Neurospora crassa OR74A: one gene and its partner. The protein of the gene in region 2 purifies or fractionates together with the protein of the main gene of each other region. This does not show direct contact. Links are inferred from orthologs where the notes say so. Each region holds a gene or a part of one and is shown on either strand. Other genes may lie near its edges.

Region 1 (5,154 bases), on a different chromosome or scaffold from region 2:
AGGGAGAAAGGATGATACCATACGTGAGATACCATACGATTTGTGGCAGCGGAAGGCTGAGATGGATGGTCAAGCTACACCAGATTGTCACGCACATTAAGCAAATAACTGACTAGGTACGCTCCTTGGGCAAATACCATTTCAACTTGTTTTACACAGAAACTGTTAGCAGACATATATGTCTGACCACTGCTAGCTCGCTTGGGTTGATGGGTGATACTATTGTCATGATGTTATTGTGCTGCTAGTAAGGTAAGATCATCATCTTTCGCTGAGCCTGTCTCTCTACCCTTGCCAGGGCGGCGGAAAAAAACAACAACAAAAAGTGCTAATGCGGTTGCCCGTAATCCAATTCTCTGCCTTGTCCACTCCTCGTTCTTCCCAATGATGAAACTGAAACCCCATATTCTGTTCGTCGCGCAATGCCAAATCCGTTGGTCTGTTGGTTAAGTAGTTACCTAATTACACGCCAACTTCTTCTCCAGTCGACGAAGCCATGCGAGTTTCTGTCTGTCCCCTTCCTTACACCATCCCCTGCCCCCTCTCAGTTCTAGCCCTTCTCCACCTTCTCGCCCACGCCGCAAGACCCTGGAGGGGAACTTTGATCATGACTTCGTATGCATCCTTCCAACCAAGTTCTTCTGGCTCTTCTTCCTCTTCTGGCTGTTTGTCGGTAGAGGTGGTGGTTATGAACTGTTGCTTTTGGCAGAGGTAGTTGAGCCTGTCGATGTCGAGCCCGGTTTCGAGCTCGGGGAGAAGGTTGAAGTTGATTGTGGCTGTGCGTGTTGGATTGAGGAGGTTGGGGGTGTTGTTGTTGTTGTTGTTGTTGTTGTTGATATTGTTGGAGGGGGTTGAGGAGTTGTTGGTGAGGAAGTTGGTTGCGTTGGCAGTAGATGATGGAGACACTGGCGGCAGTGTAGTAGTAGTTCTGGCTGTGGTAGGTTGAGCCGTAGCGGGAAGTGGAAGGCCGATGGCGTGTTGCCCTTGATGATCGGGTGCGGAGGAGGCGTAGCTCGACAGGGTGCTGAGGCTGCCAGCCCCTGGAGAAGACATCTTGGGCGTTTCTTGAGTCGAGCAGCTCTGTACTTATGGATGTGGTATATAGTACCGAGTATTTGATAGTGTTGTTGATGTCAAGTAAAACGAAGGAGGGCAGGCTACTAGAGGTTGGGCGGATCGATGTTGGGTTAGGTTTGTGATTACCTAGGTAGCGAGCGGGAAGCAGAAGATGGAAAGTGCACTTTCTTTCGAGCCTGAAGTGGTTTCCTTAGTTTTCAAGTGGTTTGAGAAAGCAGTAAGAAGTCTTGCTTTGATACACACGAGCGGGTTACCTCTTAGGTATGAAGCCCCAAAACGGGGCCTGCTCTATGCCCGTGAAGAAGCACCTGGAAGTATTTATTATTATTTCTTTTTTTTTTTATCTTCCGGACCTGGCCTGCCTTACCTTGTTTTGAAGCTGCATTCAGGTGCTTCACTGCGAAATCAGGAGGGGTGGCTAATCATCAGCACAGCCCCAGAAGCAAGGCTTCCACTTTACATTCAAATCAGCAAACGAATCTGAAGACTAGAGTTGTACACCACCGACAGTCCCAAGTAACACACAGCCTGGTGAATCTCACATCTATGGACCATCAAGGTGTTTGTCGTCCGTCTTCAAAATGACCCCCACGGTCCCTTAGCAACCATCCATCACTTACACGACCCCTGGTGCCAAGCATTGGTGGGGCGGCGCTCAGGAACTGCACCCAGCGGCCCCGGCCATTCGGATGGAAACGCCCCACACCCACACCCACCACCACCAGCGGCAGCGGGGCATCGCCCAGAATTGGACTTTGATCGGAGCAAAACAGCAGCTCCACCGAGAACTTTCCTGTGTCCGGCAAATGACGAAGTTTGTCCGCATCTTTCCCCAGCTCCATTTTCGTCACATGCCGCTGTTTATGGTTGCTCGTTGTTGTTGTTGTCGTTGTTAGCAGCAGCCTCCGATTCGTTCTCTCAGTCACCACCACATAACTACCTACAGTACCTATCTACCTCTTCGGCCGATCGATCAACCGACCGACGAAACGAACGAACGGACAATGGCGGCCAGCGGGAGCATATTCCAGTGCCTCCTGCGCACGTCGCAACAGAGCTTGGGAAAGAGGATAATCCTCCAAAGACAAACAGCAGCAGCCCACGCAGCAGCTGCGACGCGATTCACGACAGCTAGACTCGGCAGAAACCCTGCCTCTAGTCCCCGCCGCCAATTCACCACCTCGTCCACACGCCGACAGACTCAACAACCCGGCGATGATCCCAACTTTACTTCCATCCTCGATAACCCTCCCGAGCTTGTGCGGACCGGCAGGAGACATGGCAAGGGGTTGATTATCCTGGGTATGTCCTGATTGAGTCCCAACCATCTACAATCTCAGCATGCGCTATGCAGCCGTAACACTGACTAACGCATTTACCTCCTCCTCCTCCTCCTCCTCCCCACAGCCATCATCCCCATCACTGCCCTCTTTCTCGGAACCTGGCAAGTCTACCGACTAAAATGGAAGACGGACCTGATCGCCAAATGCGAGGACCGCATCATCCGGGACCCTCTCCCCCTTCCCCCCCGCGTGGACCCGGCCGCCATCGCCGACTTCGACTACCGCCGCGTCTACGCCGAGGGCGTCTACCGACACGACCAAGAGATGCTGATCGGCCCGCGCATGCGCGACGGCGAACAAGGGTACATGGTTGTTACGCCCCTGGAGAGGGGAGATGATCCGAGCTCCAAGGTGTTGGTCAACAGAGGGTGGGTGAGTAAGAAGTTTGCGGACCAGAGGAGCAGGCCGGATTCCGTCAAGCAGGGCGAAAAGGTCCGTGTGGAGGGCATGCTGAGAGAGCCGTGGAAGAAGAATATGTTCACGCCGGACAACAGGCCGGATATTGGCGAGTTTTATTTCCCGGATGTGAAGCAGATGGCCGAGTTGACGGGCAGTCAGCCGGTGTGGATTGAGCAGACTATTGGTGGGTATCTCTGTTTTCTTCTCTGCCAGTTTTGGACGTGGCTGGCCTGGCCTGCGTCCTATAATGGTATGATGGCTATTCTAGCTAGGTATGGTACTAACGTATGTTTGTGCGCAGTTCCCGATATTATCACCGTCTATGACTACGAGGCGCGTGGTATCCCTATCGGTAGAGTCGCCGAGGTCAACCTTCGCAACAACCATGCGCAGTACATCTTTACTTGGTATGTTCTTAAGCGATGCTTCACCTCCTTCCAATTCTTGACGTACCCCTGCGGTATCGCATATCAGTGCCCGACTAACTGGTACTTAGGTACGGTCTCGCTGCTGCCACCTCCATCATGTTCTGGCTCGTGGTCAAGAAGCCTGCGAACCAGATTACCAAGCGCGTTCGCATGAACAAGAGCTGGTAAACATGAGTTTGTGAGTGGGCAGTGATAGCTTTGCTTTGTCACACATCAATGGTAACAAACACTCTCACGTCACCTCTTCGTCTTCGCCGCCAACCCCAGCACGGCTAGAAGAGGCAGCCTTTCGGCGCTTCTTGACCGGAACAGGCGGCGTCATCCTCAGTTCCTGGAGGAGCTCTCTGGGAAGGTATCGTTGCGCCAAGGCAAACGGCGTGGTTTGTGCGTTGGTTTGACGTTGTCTATGGAAACAAAAATGTAAGTCAGTCCGTCGTGTACAATAGCTCGAAAAAAGTGTACAAAGAACACTACACAGGATATAAACAATCGGATACCCAGGGATCAAAGCAAAAGCGCCAAAACATACCTCTTCATCAATGTAAGCATATCACTCATATCGATAGTTTTGCGATGGGCGTGCTTTGCGTACGCCGACAAGTCATCTCCCAACTGCTCAAAGAACCAGTCCGAAGCCTGCATGATTGCCTTGAGCGCCTCAGGCGAGATGTTTCCCTTCGCGCCGCTCGTCTTGGCGAATGTTTGCGCCAGCCGCTTGATCATGGCCGGAGGTAATGATGTGTACTCGATGCCGTGTTTGGAGATCTTTTTGGTGGCTTTGATCTTGGAGAAGCCCCCTCGTTCACCACCCTCTTCCCGAAACAATCCGAGTTTCTCCCGCGCCGCCGAAGCTGAAAGTGATACCCTCGCCGCCGTTGGTGTGTAGCCTGATAATCTCGTCATCTCCTCATCCGAGCCTGCCTGGCCCTGGTCGTCTTGGTTGTTATCCAGATCCATGGCCATACCGTCGTCGTTATCATAATCGTCGTATGCTGGTCCAACATCATTTCCGTCATCGTCATTGTTGTCGTAACTGTCGCTCCTCTGGTCCATCAACTCCGCGAAACCTCCACCTTGGCCGCTTGTTGCCGCCGCTTCAGCAGCTTGACCCATCTCAAACTGCCTCGTAGGCGAAGCAATCATAAACGTGCTCTCGTCCATCCCCACCGGCACCTCAATGTGGAAATCACTATCCCTCCCTCCAGCTCCCAGCAGCAGCCCCATCCCTCCTTCCCCACCTATCGTCTCCCGTCTCCTCGTCTCGTCCGAGTCCAGCCTGCTAAACTCATCCGGTATCCTATCCTCGGCATTTCCAAAGTCGTCCTCATCAATTGCAGCAGGCGGAAAGAACCCCGAATCGATCCCATCACTCTGTTGTTGTTGTTGCTGTAGCTGCGGGAAATCACTCAACCGCCCCATCGAATCCCTCATCCTTTGTTGATCCTTCTCCGGATCCACCCGTCTCGGCAACTCGATACTCTGCACCGTAAAGTTCTCCGTCAGATCTTCGAGTCCTGCACTCCGATGTGGTTGCGGCAGTTCATCATCATCTTCCCAATCATCGCCCTCCCCATCCCCCACCCCTAAGCCCAAGCTGAGTCTCGGCCTCTTAGGCAACTCCTCCTCCTCGTCGTCCTCATCTCCATACCTACTCCGCGTGGATATGTCAAAGGTCAACTCCTCCGACGTGTCCCCCTCCTCTTGCTCTTGTCTTCCCCCAGCAGCAGCAGCAGCAGCAGATCCAGAAAGCGCCGAAGCAGGACTCGAACTACTACTCGGGATCCTCTCACTCTTGGGCGCCAAGACTTTGCCTAACTGCAGCAGGAAATTACGCGGGGTCTCGCGGGCTTCGCGCAACGAGCGCCGGCGCGCGTGGTGAGGCGTGAGGATGGCGGCGCGTCGGGAGT
Region 2 (4,781 bases):
TCTGAAGAAGGAAGAAAAAGGCGCCCGCGCTTCCCTTGAGCTTGTGCATAACGCCAGAGACGATAACCCGCTTCCTCTGAGGATCTTCGGTGGCACCGCTGCGTCTAGGGATGGGGACGCGGAAAGCCTCTTGATTCGAGTGCCGATAGGTGACATTTTCCTCGCCGCACACCAAGACACCGCTGGGACCGTCATTGCCGCCGGGTACTTGGAAGAGAAGTGAAGAAGTGCGATCGACAGTATCTGACCACTTGCGTACAACGTGGTTCAGGCCCAGATCAAGCTCGTAATATACCAGCTGTGTCTCGACTTCTTCTCGTGCTTGGCCCGTAGGATCTTGGTCCGCGTCCGTGTAGTCCAGTTCCAACGCAGCGAAAACGGGGTTTGCGTAACCAACGTCAAGGGCAACAAGAGACAGCACCAACACGCCTGGCTTGTGGGCTTCCAGTGGTGACGAGATGGTAAGCTCGGCCTGTGAGTTTCGGTTGAGAACATAGACCAGCTTGTTCTTTTCGAGTGCCGAAATGAGGCATGCTCTTCCCTTTGGATCTGCGGCTAAGTACTGGCCGGGGATGACTCGGCGGACGCCCGATTTGCCGAAAGTCTCGAGGTGGATGCGCTGAAACTTGTTCGTCTTGGGGAGATACTCGATAATCGTAATGCGGCCCGAATCAGTGGCGAGGATAATGTAGTCTGGGTGGCACAGGGTTTTAGCACAATCCCGCTACCGATTTGAATGAGTCTCTCAAGTCCCCAGAAGACTCGTAGGCCTGGGTGCATGGTGCGTGACCATACGTGTGGCCCCTCTACCCAGAAGCACCTGGGGAACGGATCCAGAATCACTATATTGCCCAACACAGGAGGTGGCGGGGAGGTTACTCACCCTTGTGGCTGCCGGCCAGACGGAACGACGCGATGGCGCGTACGATGCCGAAGATGTCATGAGACAACAGGGTGTTGACCTTGCCCTGACGGGGATCAGGCTGAAGGAGGGTTAGACGCGATCCAGACGCCGTAAGAATCTGCTGTTCCTTGGTTCCCGAGAACTGACCAAGCAGAGCCTGCGTGACAGCGGTGGGTGGCTGGATGGTCAAGGAATACAGGAACATGTTCGACGTAGTCGCCATGGCTGCAACTGGGCGCAGACAGCCGGCGCGGCTCTGCTTTCTCGAGGTTGTTTTTGCAAGTGGGTAGGACTCGGTTGTGCTCTGTCAATGCTGCCGTCGTTATGTTGAGAAGACCAATGCGCGAAAGTCAGCCAGATTGTCGAAAATCTAGAGTTGAATATCGAGTAGATGATTGTAACACGGCAAAAAAAAATGAAACACGGTCCAGTGTTCTGGCACTCTGGCGAGGTAGATGGAGTCGGTTGCCGTCGATGGTATTTCTGGCCAATTGGTGCAGTCCAGTCACTCAGGTTGCAGCGGTACGTCGGACTCGGTCCACGGTAGGTCGTAGACGCCGCCCACTCATCTTCCCGCCTCGCGACTGTGGCTTGCTCGTAGCTCTCTGACCCGCATACGTAACGTCAGACGGAGCTTACCTAGGCACAATTGTGGCTGGTGAAGCAAGAACAAAGTGGGTCATTCGATGGACGGGACCCGCCTAGGCACTTAGGCACAGTAGAGGTAGGTAGCGAGTCGGGTCGGTGGGAGAGGACCCCGGATTGCTGGGAGCTGCTGCCAAAAAGTCAATTGGAAAGTCGCATCGAGTCCCGGCGATCCAGATTCCCGATCGAACATCATCCGACCTCTTGAACTCCCAATGGCCCTCCCAGCAGACCGCGCCGTGCGTCCGGCCTTGTCCAAGCTTTGCTCGCAATGCTCGACTTTCACAGCTAGACAGAGCAGGCAAAGTGCTGCGTTTTTGCAGTCAGCCCAGCAACGCTCCGTCAGCTCCATCCGAGGGGCACAGAGCTCTTCCTCGTCTTCGACGCAAGTCGGCGGCATCACCAGAACCATTTCGCGTCCGATCCAGGCTTCGATCACAAGCAAGCTTCCTTCCGTTGCTGCCCAGTCCAGAACCAAGGCCAGCAGCTCGACATCGTTTGCCACCAACGAGGATCTGGCCGGTAGTGGTATCCCCTCGAAGCCGATTCTCGAGCAGGACAACCTCTTCCACTCCTTCACCAACTCGCCCATCCCCAAGATCCGCCAGCGCGCGGCCTTCATAAGACAGCACGCCAGCTGCCCCCACCATAGCCACCGCCCAGGGCAGTTCTCCGAGACCAACCGCCAAGTCGATACCGAGTCTGGCTCCCAGCCGCCGAAGCACGTCGATTTCGAGTGCCCTGACTGTGGCATCCCGGTATATTGCAGCGAGCAGCATTGGATGGACGACTATGAGAAACATCTCGAGATATGCGACACTCTGCGGCAGATCAATGAAGATGACCATGACCTCCATTCAGGCCGCCACTTCTACGAGTTCAACTACGCCGGTCCGCAAATGGATGATGCCATGGTCAACATGACCAACTGGGACACGTTCATGTATACCCGTCAGTTCGAAGCTGTCAACGATGACCGGTGCATGAGACAGGCGACTAGGTTGTTGACCTATCCTCTCACGATCGGCAGCGTTCTTCACGAGTTGAGCCCGTACCACATCCGGAATCGCCTCACGGTCGAGGGCTTAAAGAGTTTGACGGCACTTCGCTATACCCTGCATCCTCCCAAAACTGGAGGCAACGAGTCTATCAAGGGTCTTCGGCCTGAGGCGCCCCCCGTGCGTGTCTTTATTCTCGGTGCTCGCGCTGAGTCGTCGCTGCCTAGAGATGCTTGGGTGCAGTTGGCCCATCTCTTCCCCCTGTCGAGACTCCATCTGATTTTCATCGGACCCGAGAGCATGATGAACCGCGATGACGAATTTCCCCTCCCGCCTCGTACTCCCGAGAATCCTTACGGTGCGGTTGTGGAGGATCGCGTATGGCCTACCATGAAGATCAGCACCATTGTGGATTATTACCATACTATCCACAAGACGGGTTATTTCGCTCCTCACGATCCTTACTTCGACTGCTTCGTCCTCTTCCACCCTGGTTTGGGCCACCCGGCAAGCTCCCACGAATGGGAGGAAACGCTGCCTATGCTTCTCGAGACCAAAGCTCCTATCATTGCTACGGGCTACACGCAGGCTGACATGGAGCGTGATGTCGAGTGGGTCAACAAGAAGGCCAAGGGTGAATTCGACATTCTCATGGAGCCTGGCGAGAACATCTTCCGCAGTCTCCGGTGGGATCTGAATGATCTTGACCCTCAGGACGTCAGTGCCGGTAACTGGGGTGTGTGGGCCTTCCGCGGAAAGAGGTTGGTGCTCTCTTGATTTTTTTCCCCCGCACAACTAGATACGGTTCGAGAGCTAACAGAGTTTGTTTTAGGTACGAGGCTACCGTCAAAGACAACGTCATTGCTGTATAGATGAGCCATGCGTATGCTGGTCGTTGCATCCTGTAAGATGTAGTAGGTGTTGGCAACCGGGCTGTTAGGAGCCCAGACTGTATAATAGGAATATCGAACAAACGCATTGTCACGACCATATCGGCTTTTTACACTTCAAGACTTTGTGGTATCTTTTCCGTTTCTAACGGTACGGGCTGGATGTTACGGATGTCGGATCCAAGGTGTGTGTTCAAAATCTTTTGGACTGCACAGTCTGATAATCTCGTAGTTGTGGGCCTAGGGAGGCACTGATCTGCAACGGTCAGGCTCGGGCCGCATGCAGCAAGTGCCTTGTGTCACGGCAGTCTGCTGTGGCAAGGGTGATGACAGCTTGAGCCTCATCGACGACAGACGGTTTTTTTTTTTCAAGCACTTTTTGTCCGTCTCACGCAACACCTTGCACCGCGCAGTAAATTTCGGTCAACGTTTGTCAAGCGAAGTGCAACGATAACAAACTTCAGGCGTGGAGATTCCTAACCTGCCAGCAGCAGTGTGTATCCTTGGTAAGAAACGAAAACTACCCACATGCTGGAAGATGACTCGCACCGACTTGACTAGAGTTAAAGGAATTTAAAAGCGGTCGAGGATGCGGTGCCGCCTTAGCTGCGTAAGTCAAAGGTGTGTGCTTTGTTGACATTCATTCAGGGGAAGCTCGACGACTTCAAGGGGTGATCGGTTCCATGCTACGGGCAACGACCATGCTTGGTCTTGGCTAACCTCACCGCCTACCCGTTTCGGACAGGTATTGGCTGATAAGCGGCAGGGTGCTTCCTTATCACCTGGGCTACTGCCGCTGTTGGCTGGGGTCGCCGGCCATCCACCACAGGTGCGGGACAGGCGTGGACGGAACACAAGACCGGACCACTCGCTACCTATCAACATGCACCCAGCACCACCTGTTCACCAACCACTGCACCGCGCAACACGCACAATCACACCTCGACGATTTTCTCTTGTCTTCCGCCTCTCGCGCTTCAAAGAGCTGCCAGGCTCTGAATTGTCATAAAGAGTGGACGGCGCTATGATATGAGCGGGTGCGCGCGGGGCACAATGCTTGGACACCGCTAGTTGGCCCGTCATGACAACTGCCTCGACTGCTGCTGCTGCTGCTGCTGCTCCCACTTTCTCTGCGCCCTCTGCGCCCTCTGCGCCCTCTGCGTCCCCTGCGGTCCCTGTCACTGCACAGAGTCAGGGCCCCGCTCCCACTCGTCTCTCAACCCCACGACCAAAGTCGCCCAGGACGAGCTCAGAACCATCTTCGTCGACAAACAACCTGAAGGCCGGCACCAGGTCACGGACCAAACGGGGATCGCCGTCGCCCCAGTCCAACGCGCAGCGGAC

Evidence for each region. Proteins that work in one complex are often made in the same cells at the same time.
Region 1: the proteins of NCU00395 (region 2) and NCU02162 purify together in Saccharomyces cerevisiae (affinity purification with western blotting; 6 studies listed by BioGRID, with this or other methods). This does not show direct contact. The link is inferred for Neurospora crassa OR74A from reciprocal best matches to the Saccharomyces cerevisiae genes MSS51 and SHY1.

Annotation. Positions count from the first base shown.
Region 1 is NC_026501.1:1,040,595-1,045,748, forward strand, and holds the start of NCU02162 (SURF-family protein), read left to right. Parts: upstream 1-1,652; 5' UTR 1,653-2,081; coding exon 2,082-2,379; intron 2,380-2,484; coding exon 2,485-3,003; exon of another isoform or gene 3,004-3,120; coding exon 3,121-3,226; exon of another isoform or gene 3,227-3,315; coding exon 3,316-3,415; 3' UTR 3,416-3,479; coding exon of another isoform or gene 3,480-3,651; 3' UTR 3,652-3,776; coding exon of another isoform or gene 3,777-5,154. Other genes in the region: NCU02163 (hypothetical protein), read right to left, coding at 523-1,053; CEN-T, read right to left, coding at 3,480-3,651, 3,777-5,154. UniProt on the Saccharomyces cerevisiae protein: Required for efficient assembly of cytochrome c oxidase in the mitochondrial inner membrane. Involved in a step that couples MSS51-COX14-dependent regulation of COX1 translation to early steps of cytochrome c oxidase assembly.
Region 2 is NC_026503.1:3,705,126-3,709,906, reverse strand, and holds NCU00395 (mRNA processing protein), read left to right. Parts: upstream 1-1,631; 5' UTR 1,632-1,764; coding exon 1,765-3,308; intron 3,309-3,379; coding exon 3,380-3,419; 3' UTR 3,420-3,619; downstream 3,620-4,781. Other genes in the region: NCU00396 (pre-mRNA-splicing factor rse-1), read right to left, coding at 1-693, 884-1,127; NCU16682 (PXA domain-containing protein), read left to right, coding at 4,519-4,781. UniProt on the Saccharomyces cerevisiae protein: Has a dual role in the assembly of cytochrome oxidase subunit 1 (COX1). It has a regulative function on COX1 synthesis, acting as a translational activator specific for the COX1 mRNA, and it also binds to newly synthesized COX1 protein.